Arabidopsis thaliana: one gene and its partner. The protein of the gene in region 2 interacts with the protein of the main gene of each other region in a pairwise test. Each region holds a gene or a part of one and is shown on either strand. Other genes may lie near its edges.

Evidence for each region.
Region 1: the proteins of AT5G51790 (region 2) and AT2G18090 interact in a two-hybrid assay, tested with the Arabidopsis thaliana proteins (one large-scale study listed by BioGRID).

The regions. Positions count from the first base shown.
Region 1 is NC_003071.7:7,862,120-7,868,465, forward strand, and holds AT2G18090 (PHD finger family protein / SWIB complex BAF60b domain-containing protein / GYF domain-containing protein), read left to right. Parts: upstream 1-2,074; 5' UTR 2,075-2,381; coding exon 2,382-2,671; intron 2,672-2,784; coding exon 2,785-2,864; intron 2,865-2,940; coding exon 2,941-3,128; intron 3,129-3,281; coding exon 3,282-5,198; 3' UTR 5,199-5,701; downstream 5,702-6,346. Other genes in the region: AT2G18100 (transmembrane/coiled-coil protein (DUF726)), read left to right, coding at 5,810-6,030, 6,124-6,205, 6,295-6,346.
Region 2 is NC_003076.8:21,037,896-21,042,334, forward strand, and holds AT5G51790 (basic helix-loop-helix (bHLH) DNA-binding superfamily protein), read left to right. Parts: upstream 1-1,637; 5' UTR 1,638-1,671; coding exon 1,672-2,043; intron 2,044-2,157; coding exon 2,158-2,511; coding exon of another isoform or gene 2,512-2,550; exon of another isoform or gene 2,551-2,615; coding exon 2,616-2,699; 3' UTR 2,700-3,723; downstream 3,724-4,439.

The DNA of each region.
Region 1 (6,346 bases), on a different chromosome or scaffold from region 2:
GTTAAAATTAAAAATTGCCGGTATTGTTTTGTTAAATATTTTATTTTGATAAAATCCTCTGATCTCTATCATTCGAAGTCAAAGCTGTTTTGTTCACGTAAAACTGCATGTGTGATCCTATATATTGTATATTGATAAATACGTTTAACAATGACAATCTAGTGAGATAGCTCATGTCACATCGACCTATGATCAATGGATTACTTCAGTTTGATAATATGTTTGTATGTGATCACGAATTATATATTATATACCAATCGATTTTTCATTGTTTTATGTACTATAATTTGATTTCAGCTCACTACATATAATATTTAAACGTGACATGTTCATCTTTTTTCGTCGTCGATCGACATATCAACTATAAGATTAGTCGGTTGTACGTATAAATCTTGACCTTTTACCATGGATTTGTCCTATAAAAGCTTACTAGAGACTAGAGACCAGAACGCATTAATATTATTAGGTCTATCTTCTATCACTTCATAGTGTTTCTTTAACACTCATGTTTTGCAAGTGTCGTTTTGTACTATTGGAAAAGATTATTGTTATAAAAAAAAAAATGAAACAAAACTCTAAAAAATCAGTTAATCTTAGTTATAAAACATTATCCTGCTAGAAATCATTGCAACTTTAATAAAGTATTGAGTCTTGAATCGTTATGTCCACTTCGTTTATTTTATATAAAAGTTTGTCAACTAATTAATAGCTGATTTTTTTTTTCTTTTAAGAGAAAGAAGATCTCGAAATGAGAATTAAAGATAAGATATATGGTTAGGTAGCGAGTAGAAGACCAAAGCAAGAAACTACGACCACGACATCTTGCACATAAGAAAAAAAAAAAGTAGTTCAATTTCATTTTCGCTTTGGTCCACTTTATTATTTAACAAAAAATAATATCTAATAAATTACATTAATATAACAGTCCGTGTTAGACTAAGACACGAAGCCTCCCCCACTAAATCGACGCAAATAAAAATAAACAAATGGTGGGGTTAAGAGTTTAATTCGAGCTGTGGAATTTTTTTATAAATATACAAAAATAATAATATTTAAAATAATATATATTACGATAACAAATTTTTATGTCAATCAATTATATTTTAAGAATCTTCTAAAATCAAATATTATTGAACTAATAATTTGAATAATAATTTTAATTCCACTATTATTGAAAATATTCATATCATTAGTTTTTAAGGGTGTATAGTGAAAAAATTCCTCAATTTCAAATATGTTAATACAAATTTCCCTTTTTAAAAATTATCATGAAATTGGACAAACTATATTTATATTGAAAAAGATATATAAACTTATACAACACAAATTGTAAACAAAAATAACATGATGTTCTTCAATAAAATTATAAATCATCAAACCTAAACTCTAAAATTGTCAAAGTAAAAAACCTAAATTGACGAATTCTAATTTATTATAGCGAAATTCTCTGATGTTTGTATGATGTCGAAGTTGATTATGAGAGATTTTGTAAAATTTTGTGTTTTAATTTTAACCATAGTTTATCTAATTTTTACGACAATGTAGAAAGACAGGATTAAGATATTTGAAAAATTGAAGTTTTTTTTTATAAAATATATAATTGAATAATTTCTTATAGAATTTTAGAAAAAAATTTTAGATAAAATTAAAAAACACAAATGTAATTCTTTTATGTAGAATTTGGGGAACCAGACTACAACAAATCATAAATTTCTCTAAATTTACCTAAAATCATATTAAAAATTAATAAATCATTATGAATCTTAAATTACTTAAAATATAAATTTGAAAATACTCCTCTAACTCAGAGATCAATTTTTTCTAATGCCTCGTGATTTTTTTGCATCTTGTAGCTTAGTCACCTATATATATTTTTAGTGGTAACAAGATTCTCTGTTAAAAAAATAATAAAAATTAAAAATAATAATAGTTTATTTTATGGGAAAAGACGCGAGTGGCTCCCACCAGCCTCAACTTTGCCCACGTGGAACCAGCCATATGCGCGGCGTTTAGACAACAAAAAAAAAGCGTGTTGTTTCTTTCTCTCTCTAGAAAGTCAAAAAAAGGAGACAGACAACCAAACACTGCCTTGTCACATCTCTCTCTCTCTTGCTTTTGGCGAGTAACGAGTAAGTCCATTTTCCATGTGCCCACTGTGTCTTCTCTCCTTACACGCCACCATCTCCTCCACCTCCTCCTCCCTCCCTTCTCCAATTCCCAATTCTCCTCCAAACCCTAGGGTTAGGGTTTCCACGATTGCTTCACCTTCCCTTCTTTTTTTAAAACCTCAGATCTTCCGCTTCCTCGTTCTTGTCTTTTTGTTGAGCTGAGAAGCAAAAAAAAAGTGTTCTTTGGCTTCACGAGGAGCCAACAACGAATCGATGCCGGAAATCGATCTTATGAGAGTCGATCATTGTGTTTCCGATGTTAAATTAGATGATTCTTCTTCTTCTCCTCCGGGATTCTTCGATGGTGGTGGTGTTCCGTTAGATTCGGATGTGAAGTTAGACGAAGAAGATTCCGATTCTTTGAAGAAGAGAGGTAGACGTGGTCGTCCGCCGAGAATTTTAGCTAAAGCTTCTTCGCCTCCGATTTCGAGGAAGAGAAGAGAAGATGAAGATGTTTGCTTTGTTTGCTTCGATGGTGGTAGTCTTGTTCTCTGCGATCGTAGGTTAGTGAAGTTTTGAGCTTAGACAAGTTACTCTCCCAGCTCCATTACATTCCTACTTGTAAAAATAGAAACTTTTACTTGTGACTGATGATGATTCTTTCTTAATTTGTCAGGGGATGTCCAAAGGCTTATCACCCAGCTTGTGTTAAGCGTACTGAAGCATTCTTCAGATCGAGATCTAAATGGAATTGTGGTAAGTTGTTCAATTTTTATCTGTTTTCTCTTCTTTGAGATGGTTCATAGTGATGAGGATGGTTTTTTGGTTTCAGGTTGGCACATATGTACTACTTGTCAAAAGGATTCGTTCTACATGTGTTATACTTGTCCGTATTCAGTTTGTAAGAGGTGTGTTAGAAGCTCAGAGTATGTAGTTGTAAGGGAGAACAAAGGATTCTGTGGAATTTGTATGAAGACTATAATGCTTATTGAGAATGCAGCTGAAGCTAACAAAGAAAAGGTATGAGAATCCTGTCTACATTTTGTTACTTTCTCTTACTCGCAGTACTACAAGGTTATTTGTGGAACTTGAGGTCTGTTCTTGTAATGTCGCTTTGTTTTTTTAATGTGGATTCTTTCTTCTAGCTAAATGTATTACATGTACATTTTCTAGGTTCAGGTTGATTTTGATGATCAAGGCAGCTGGGAGTATCTTTTTAAGATTTACTGGGTTTCTCTTAAAGAAAAGCTAGGTTTATCGTTAGATGATCTTACCAAAGCAAAAAATCCATGGAAATCTTCTTCTTCTACTGCCGCTAAGCGAAGAACTACTAGTCGGGTTCATGAAAAGGATGATGGAAATTCTCCTGGGGTTATGAAAATACGTCGTGCTAAAGTAAGGAAAATGGATGCTGTTTCTGTGAGTAATTTGGGTCCTTCTTTGGATTCAAACTGTTCTTTGGGTGACAGACTTCCACAATTGACTAGTGCTGCTACTTGGGCAACCAATGAGCTTTTGGACTTTGTGGGGTATATGAAAAACGGTGATATTTCTGTCTTATCAAAGTATGATGTCCAAACTCTCGTGCTAGAGTATGTGAGACGGAATAATCTACAAAACTCTCCTCAGAATTCTGAAATAATGTGTGACTCCAAGCTTATGAGATTGTTTGGAAAGGAGCGAGTGGACAACTTGGAAATGTTAAAGCTTCTTGATTCTCACTTCATCGATCAAGTTAGGTCTCCAGTCACAGATAATTCAGCCGGAGGAGTCACTGAAACTATGTCTTACCAGGTTAATGCGGGCAGAAGCTGTGATAGGTTAAATACATCTGAACAGCATCAAGAAGGGGAATCACAGCAATTGAACGGGCACAGTATTCAAGTTAGACCTTCCAGTTCTGATAGCAGAAACCATGCAGTTGTAAAACCTGACACAAGTGCCACTCTGTCCAATAAGCCAATTGATGGTTTGGATACAAATATGGTATGGTTATATGGAGATCCAGATGGGAAGATTCATGGACCATTTTCGTTATATAACCTGCGACAATGGAATTCAAGCGGGCATTTCCCACCAGAGCTGAGAATATGGAGGTTGGGTGAACAGCAACACAGCTCCATACTTTTGACTGACGCATTAAATGGGCAGTTCCATAAAACAGGGTTATTACAGAATCATTCTATCCCCAAGCAGGAAGTGACAGCTACTATAGCTAACGATCAAAACAGGTCTGTGGCTGTTCCTAAAATAGAGAGTAGAATACTTGACTTCAGCCCCAACTCAGTGTGCACTGACCAGAGTGTTATTTCTAGCAGTAACAGTGTCATCACAAGGAGCTCGGATGTGAGTAACAAAAGCGGAAACAATTGTAGCCACGCCGTGCCATTGGATTTTTCTCTTTCTAATGAAAGGGATACTGTGGGTTTTATCTCTCTCTGGGACAAAAGAAAAGTTGAAAGTTCTTTGCTTGTACAAAGCCCAATAAGCTGTTCACTCTCGCTGGCTACATTACCTAGAAACTCAAACTGCTCTCTGCCACCACATGAAAGATGGAGTGCTGGTCAGACAGATGGAAACAGTGCAGCAACGACTGCTTGCAATCAAAACGGTAGTCTTAGCGGCTCAGCTGAGAAACAAGTCACGGCTACAGTCCAGTCATGTGGACAGAACTGGAATGCTGCAACTCCAAGCAGTGCTTCAAATGTGTGGGATTCGAACTCGGGTTTGACGTCTTTCCCAGACAATCAAGAAATAGACTTTTTAGATCTCTTTAGTCCAACTTTCAAATTCAACTTTGCATCTACTACCACTGATTGGCAACCCATTGTGGCTGGACCTGACGAATGCGACGAATCAGTCTCAGATCTTTTGGCAGAAGTGGAAGCCATGGAGTCCCAAAAACGTCTTCCTTCTCCAACTTCGACATTCCGTGGTCCTGAAGAATTATTAATCCGGCACTCAATAAACGATAGCTTCAGTCCCGCAGAAGGACATAGCCCAGCACTAGATGTAAGCAAAGGTGACTCCATGAGCTCCACAAACGATCTTCAAATGCATTCACGATCTAACAGCACCGTGCATTTTTAGTCGTGGGCTCGGGTTCACATAGAGAGAAATCATAACCTGGGGCACAGGTTACCATAGATCATCCAATGTCCTAGATTCGTCTGATCGATGGTGGACTATGCCCTCTTTCTTCTCTTTTTTTTTGCAGGATTATTACAGAACATAAATAAATGGCAGAATCATCAGCAAAAATGAAAAAAAACGAGTGGTGCATATGTAGAAGATGTTTCTTCGCGGTATTTTTGACTGCACCCATTGTTTTCTTCAGTATTTAGGTTTTGTAACGTTGTCCTGTGTTAAGATTTGCACAGACATACCCAACTTCTGTATCTTTTTTTTTTACATTGTTTGTACTTAGGAACAAGTATAAAAATGGGAAGAAATTGTTGTCCATGGATGTAATCAAAACATTTGTAGGGATCATATCATCTTATTATTCTATATATATGATAATGATAGTGTAACGTTTCATTCTTTTTGTTTTGAATGTTTCAAATCTATTTATATCATGACAAGTGTAGGCTCCAGTTTATTCTACTTGTTTTTGGAAAATGAGACGAACTCTATTGATCGTTTCTGGATTTGGAAACTTTTTGTTGTTTCTTCGATTTCGTTTTTGTTGATCTGAGTTGATGGTGGAAGCTACGTCAAATTTGACGCCGTCGCAGAGATACGCGGCAAGCGCTTTGTTTGCAATCGCGCTTAACCAAGCGCAGATCAGCCAGTCAAAGCCATTGGGAATCCCGGCCACCGGAAGTACCGGAGAGCCAATCAGCAGCGACAGTGATCCTATCTCCGATGAGGCGGATCTCTGGGTCCACGAAGTTTCCGGCCTCCTCCGTCCTGTTCTCAGGTGATCTTGAAATCATCTGGAATAGTCATGTTCATATGCGTCTCTGTGTGTGTAATGTATACATTTTGAGCTGTCTCTGTAATTTGCTTTCAGATGTCTTCAGATTGATTCATCAGCTTGGCATGGCCTTGAAGAGATAGCTGCTTCTACTCAGGCTAAGGATCACATCGGTGCGGTATGATTAATTTCTCTCCGTATTTTGAAATTTCGTTGTGAATGTTGAGGAGCTCTTCTTTATTGGATGTTACTTTTGGTTTATTGTAGTTTATCAAGTTACTCTCAGAGGATGTGAGTGATGATGATGATGATTCTAGTG
Region 2 (4,439 bases):
AAAAAAAAAAAAAAAAGTAGTCCCTTACTACATCAAATTCGTCTTCCTTGACGGCAGTTCTACTGTTTACCTTTCTAACAATTTGATTAGAAAATACTGTTAGATTATTATAAGTGGTTGGTTTGTAACTGAACACGGCTTACACACAGAACAAAAATCAAACTTGAGGTTATAATGAATAACTACATAAACTCACATGTGGCATAATGCATGCTCGAAATAATTTGGGAGAGTGGGATCCATGAGATGCTAATGAGGCTGGGATATTTTAGGACAAATGAAACAGCTGGTTTCCATCTATTAATAACCAGGATCTTTCTTGTCTCCTCTTCCACCTTGTCTTGAAGTTGCATGAGCTGTCCTAGGCCTATCTTTTAACTATGTCCACTCCACTTCACTCATCCTATCCACTTAGCTTATCCCCATTATTAAATGTGTCTCCCTTGGTTTTACTATTTATCTTTATCATATTTTGATTGAAAAATATCGTGAGGTTAGTTTCTAGAAGTTTTACCCGATGACAATCGAAATTGCCAAAACAACAAAAGAAACTGATAAGATATTTTCTCTGTCCAAGTGAATGAGAGTGAATTCCCAATATTTTTAAATGATGTTTGTATTCTTGTTCTCTTTTTTTTTTCATTTAACTGTTATGGGATATGTACGTAATTTTCCGCAATTCTAATGTATACTATAACAATATGATTTTCATGCTTAGACTGCGTTAGAAAGTTCGGTTATAATACTGACAACATTTGTGTGTTCATTGATACTGCGAACATCTTCACAAACATATTGATAAATAATCTCTTCTCTTGCATGAGATTATATTATTTGAGTACATGTACACGTTCTTATTTGCCGAATGTTCTTTGTTGCCACCATAAAGTTTTATTGGGCCAAAACTAATAGAAACCACACATAATCATTTCGTTGTTTTGTGTTTTTGTCAAACAAATCACACATAATTCAACGACAAACTTTCTAATTTGAGCAACCTCTTTATCTCCTTGAAAGTTTCTATGGAGAATTCTACCGATTAGTCGACTCATGACTATTCATCCATTATCACAATTGACAAATCCAGATATTTTGATCAAATATCATTTGATTTTTTTGTTCTATCTCGAAGCAGATACCAGTGTACCATAAGAAAAAAATGCTTCATTAGTCATCTTCAAATCACATGCAAAAATTTGGAAGAAAACTGAAAACAATTTGCATGATAGATCATAATGTTCAAGCAAAAATAAATAAATCCAAATGTGATAAAATGTATAGATATTCACATTGATCTTACTAGTAATATTATATATTTTCTAAAGTTAATTAAAATGTTCTATGTATTTTTTTATATATGAAACACATCATATAAAAGAAAATTGGAATGTAAATTCCAGATCTTGATCCATATAAATATATCAAGATTTATATCGATCAAGATCATATTGGGATCCGTTTTAGACTAATCAAGATTTTACCATTCATATTTCTTGGATATCTGAAATTATAAAGCGCGTCAGAAAATCTTCTACAAGACACTCCCAACATTAAAAAGCCAGAGAAATGATTTGCACACACTCGCTAGTTATATACATACAAAGCATAAAGTTCTGTCACGTGTAAAAGAGCTTGTGAAACATTACAGCAAACCAAACTATTTGACTAAAGATGAAAACAACACCTCTCCCGAGGCTGCATTATTTAGTAAGTCTTCTTTGTTTTTTTCTTTCTTCCAAGATTAAAGAAGACAGACCCAATTATGTAAGGGCAGTCTCTCCTATAAACCTAACTAGTTCATTGGAAAAAACAAGAGAGAAAAAAAAACGATTACTGCTGAGATCTACCATTTCTAAACCTCAACCCATGAATCCTTCTAACAATCCTAAAAAGACAAGGCACCAGAGTCATATGCCTCAAGAAAGAGATGAAACGAAGAAGGAGAAGAAGCTTCTCCACCGCAACATCGAACGACAAAGAAGACAAGAAATGGCGATCCTTTTCGCCTCTCTTCGTAGTCAGCTACCTCTAAAATACATCAAGGTACATATATTTTACTCCAATAGTCTCATTGAAGTCCCAATCTTCCTATCAAGTTCATTGATGGGAGATTTTTGTTCTCTAGGGTTTTAGTTTTCTCAGGCTCTTTCTTCGCAGGGAAAGAGAGCCATGTCAGATCATGTAAACGGAGCAGTAAGTTTCATCAAAGACACGCAAACAAGGATAAAAGATCTCTCCGCAAGAAGAGACGAGCTAAAGCGAGAGATTGGTGACCCTACTAGTCTAACTGGATCCGGATCCGGATCTGGATCAAGTAGATCGGAACCAGCTAGTGTCATGGTGCAACCGTGTGTGAGCGGCTTCGAGGTGGTTGTGAGCAGCTTAGCATCAGGTCTCGAGGCTTGGCCACTCTCAAGAGTTCTTGAAGTTCTTCACGGGCAAGGACTTGAAGTCATCAGCTCTTTAACAGCACGAGTCAACGAGAGGCTCATGTACACTATACAAGTCGAGGTACGGTTACATATTTGGAGTTATTGTAGAGTTTTTTAGTGTAAGCTTATCTATTGTGTAAATATGCTTATTCTTATGTATCCATATATATGATATATCCACAGGTAAATAGCTTTGATTGCTTCGACTTAGCTTGGTTGCAGCAGAAGCTAATTGAGCAGTTAGTACTTTCCACGACTAGGCACTGAAAAAACTAACATTTGTCATAAGAATATGTTCATTGAATGATGCTTTTGTCCCAATCTCTTTGTTTTAGTGTCCGTAAGGGTGTGTTCTTTTGGTCCTTCACTACTTGGAGTGATTTTTTTTTTTTTTTTTGTAAAAATGATCTGGTTGATTAGATTGAATTAGCAAATTCTAAACTTTCATGCATGCTTCTTTATATAGGAGAATCTTTTGATCACCAACAAAACAAAAATATAGTGATGCGCCTGATTTCTTTATACATTTTTGAATATATATATTCATCAATCGATGATAAAGACTAGAGTCTCATCGGTGTCTTTTTATACTTCATATGCATGAACCATAGTTGATAGATATTTTGAACATAGCATACATACACTTCTCTGAGACTTACCAATGAAGATATTTTATGAGAGGAGCATGGTAATGCAGGTTAAATAATGGAGCAGCTGCCATTCAACATTAGTAGATATCTTGTGAGTTTTACTGACTAAATTCGTACGACATTGACCTATAGCTAGGAACAAACACTGATCAAAAGAAACTTTCATTTGATTAACCCGCATATATATTAGTAGATAATATGGCATGCACATAATTTGATTTGACTCACGGTTTTCAAGTTTTCTAATCATGCCATATTTTGTTCATAAATGAAATTACATGACATTACTGAAATATATGGAAAGGAATACTGAAAACGTTTTTTTGGGTTAAGAAGAAGAAGAAAGTACATTCAAATATTCATCTATATTTTATAGTGACGTATATATAACTCTAGGTTTCTTTTGCCTCTTCGGCCTCAACCAGAAGCACTGAAGCACTGAAGCACATAAACAGTATCGCATAACTTCGGTCATATATATTTTGCCGTTGAATAATTTTTCTTAGATTTATGTAAAATTATGGCTTAAATACATCTTAATTATATAAAAATTAGCGAGGATGGCAGTCGAATGTTAAAGCAATAAAGATACGATTGAGTGGTTGAGATCTCCCTAATATACTTTTGATTTAATTATTGTTAGTTAATGGTTAAGTACAAAGATGCTGTCCAACGAATTCATGATCTTCAAATTGGATTATGTTCTAATAAAGACAGCCTAATTAGACCAATACTTAAATCAATTGTTGGTGATGCGTGGTTAAATAATATTCTGATGACAAAAAAACATAATTTTATTTTTTAAAAGTCCCTTTTCCAGAAGAAAAAAAGTTATAAGAAAAAGTTTAGCATATCCGAATTGACTAGTTCTATCTATAATTCAAGTGGATGACCGTAAAGCTTAAAAGAAAATGTCTATGCCCGATCCCTAAATTTCGAATTTATTTATAACAAAAAATTTGGTAAACTATTTATTTATTAATAATAAATTGGTCACATATATTCCGATTTTTAGTTCGAGAAGTACCCTTTTATGAATCTGAAATCCAATTATCGAGGGCACGATTTAAGACAGCTCACCTAATCATAAATAGTGGAAGAAAAAAGCTCTAATCTTACGTATGTATGAGTTTCTGGCTTTAGAAGAGTTAATTAACCTAAAGTTATCTAGTTGAGTGTTGTGTGAGTGTGAGGTTTGGCCCGTTTCTGATGCTGATTAGTTGGCATACATATCATTATCCGCATGTACTACCAAAAAATATCCGCTTGTACTATGGTCAGCTTTCGAATATTTATGGTGGTGTACGATTTTACCAAATATCCTTGAGAATAAAATCCACTTGGCGAATATTAGTCA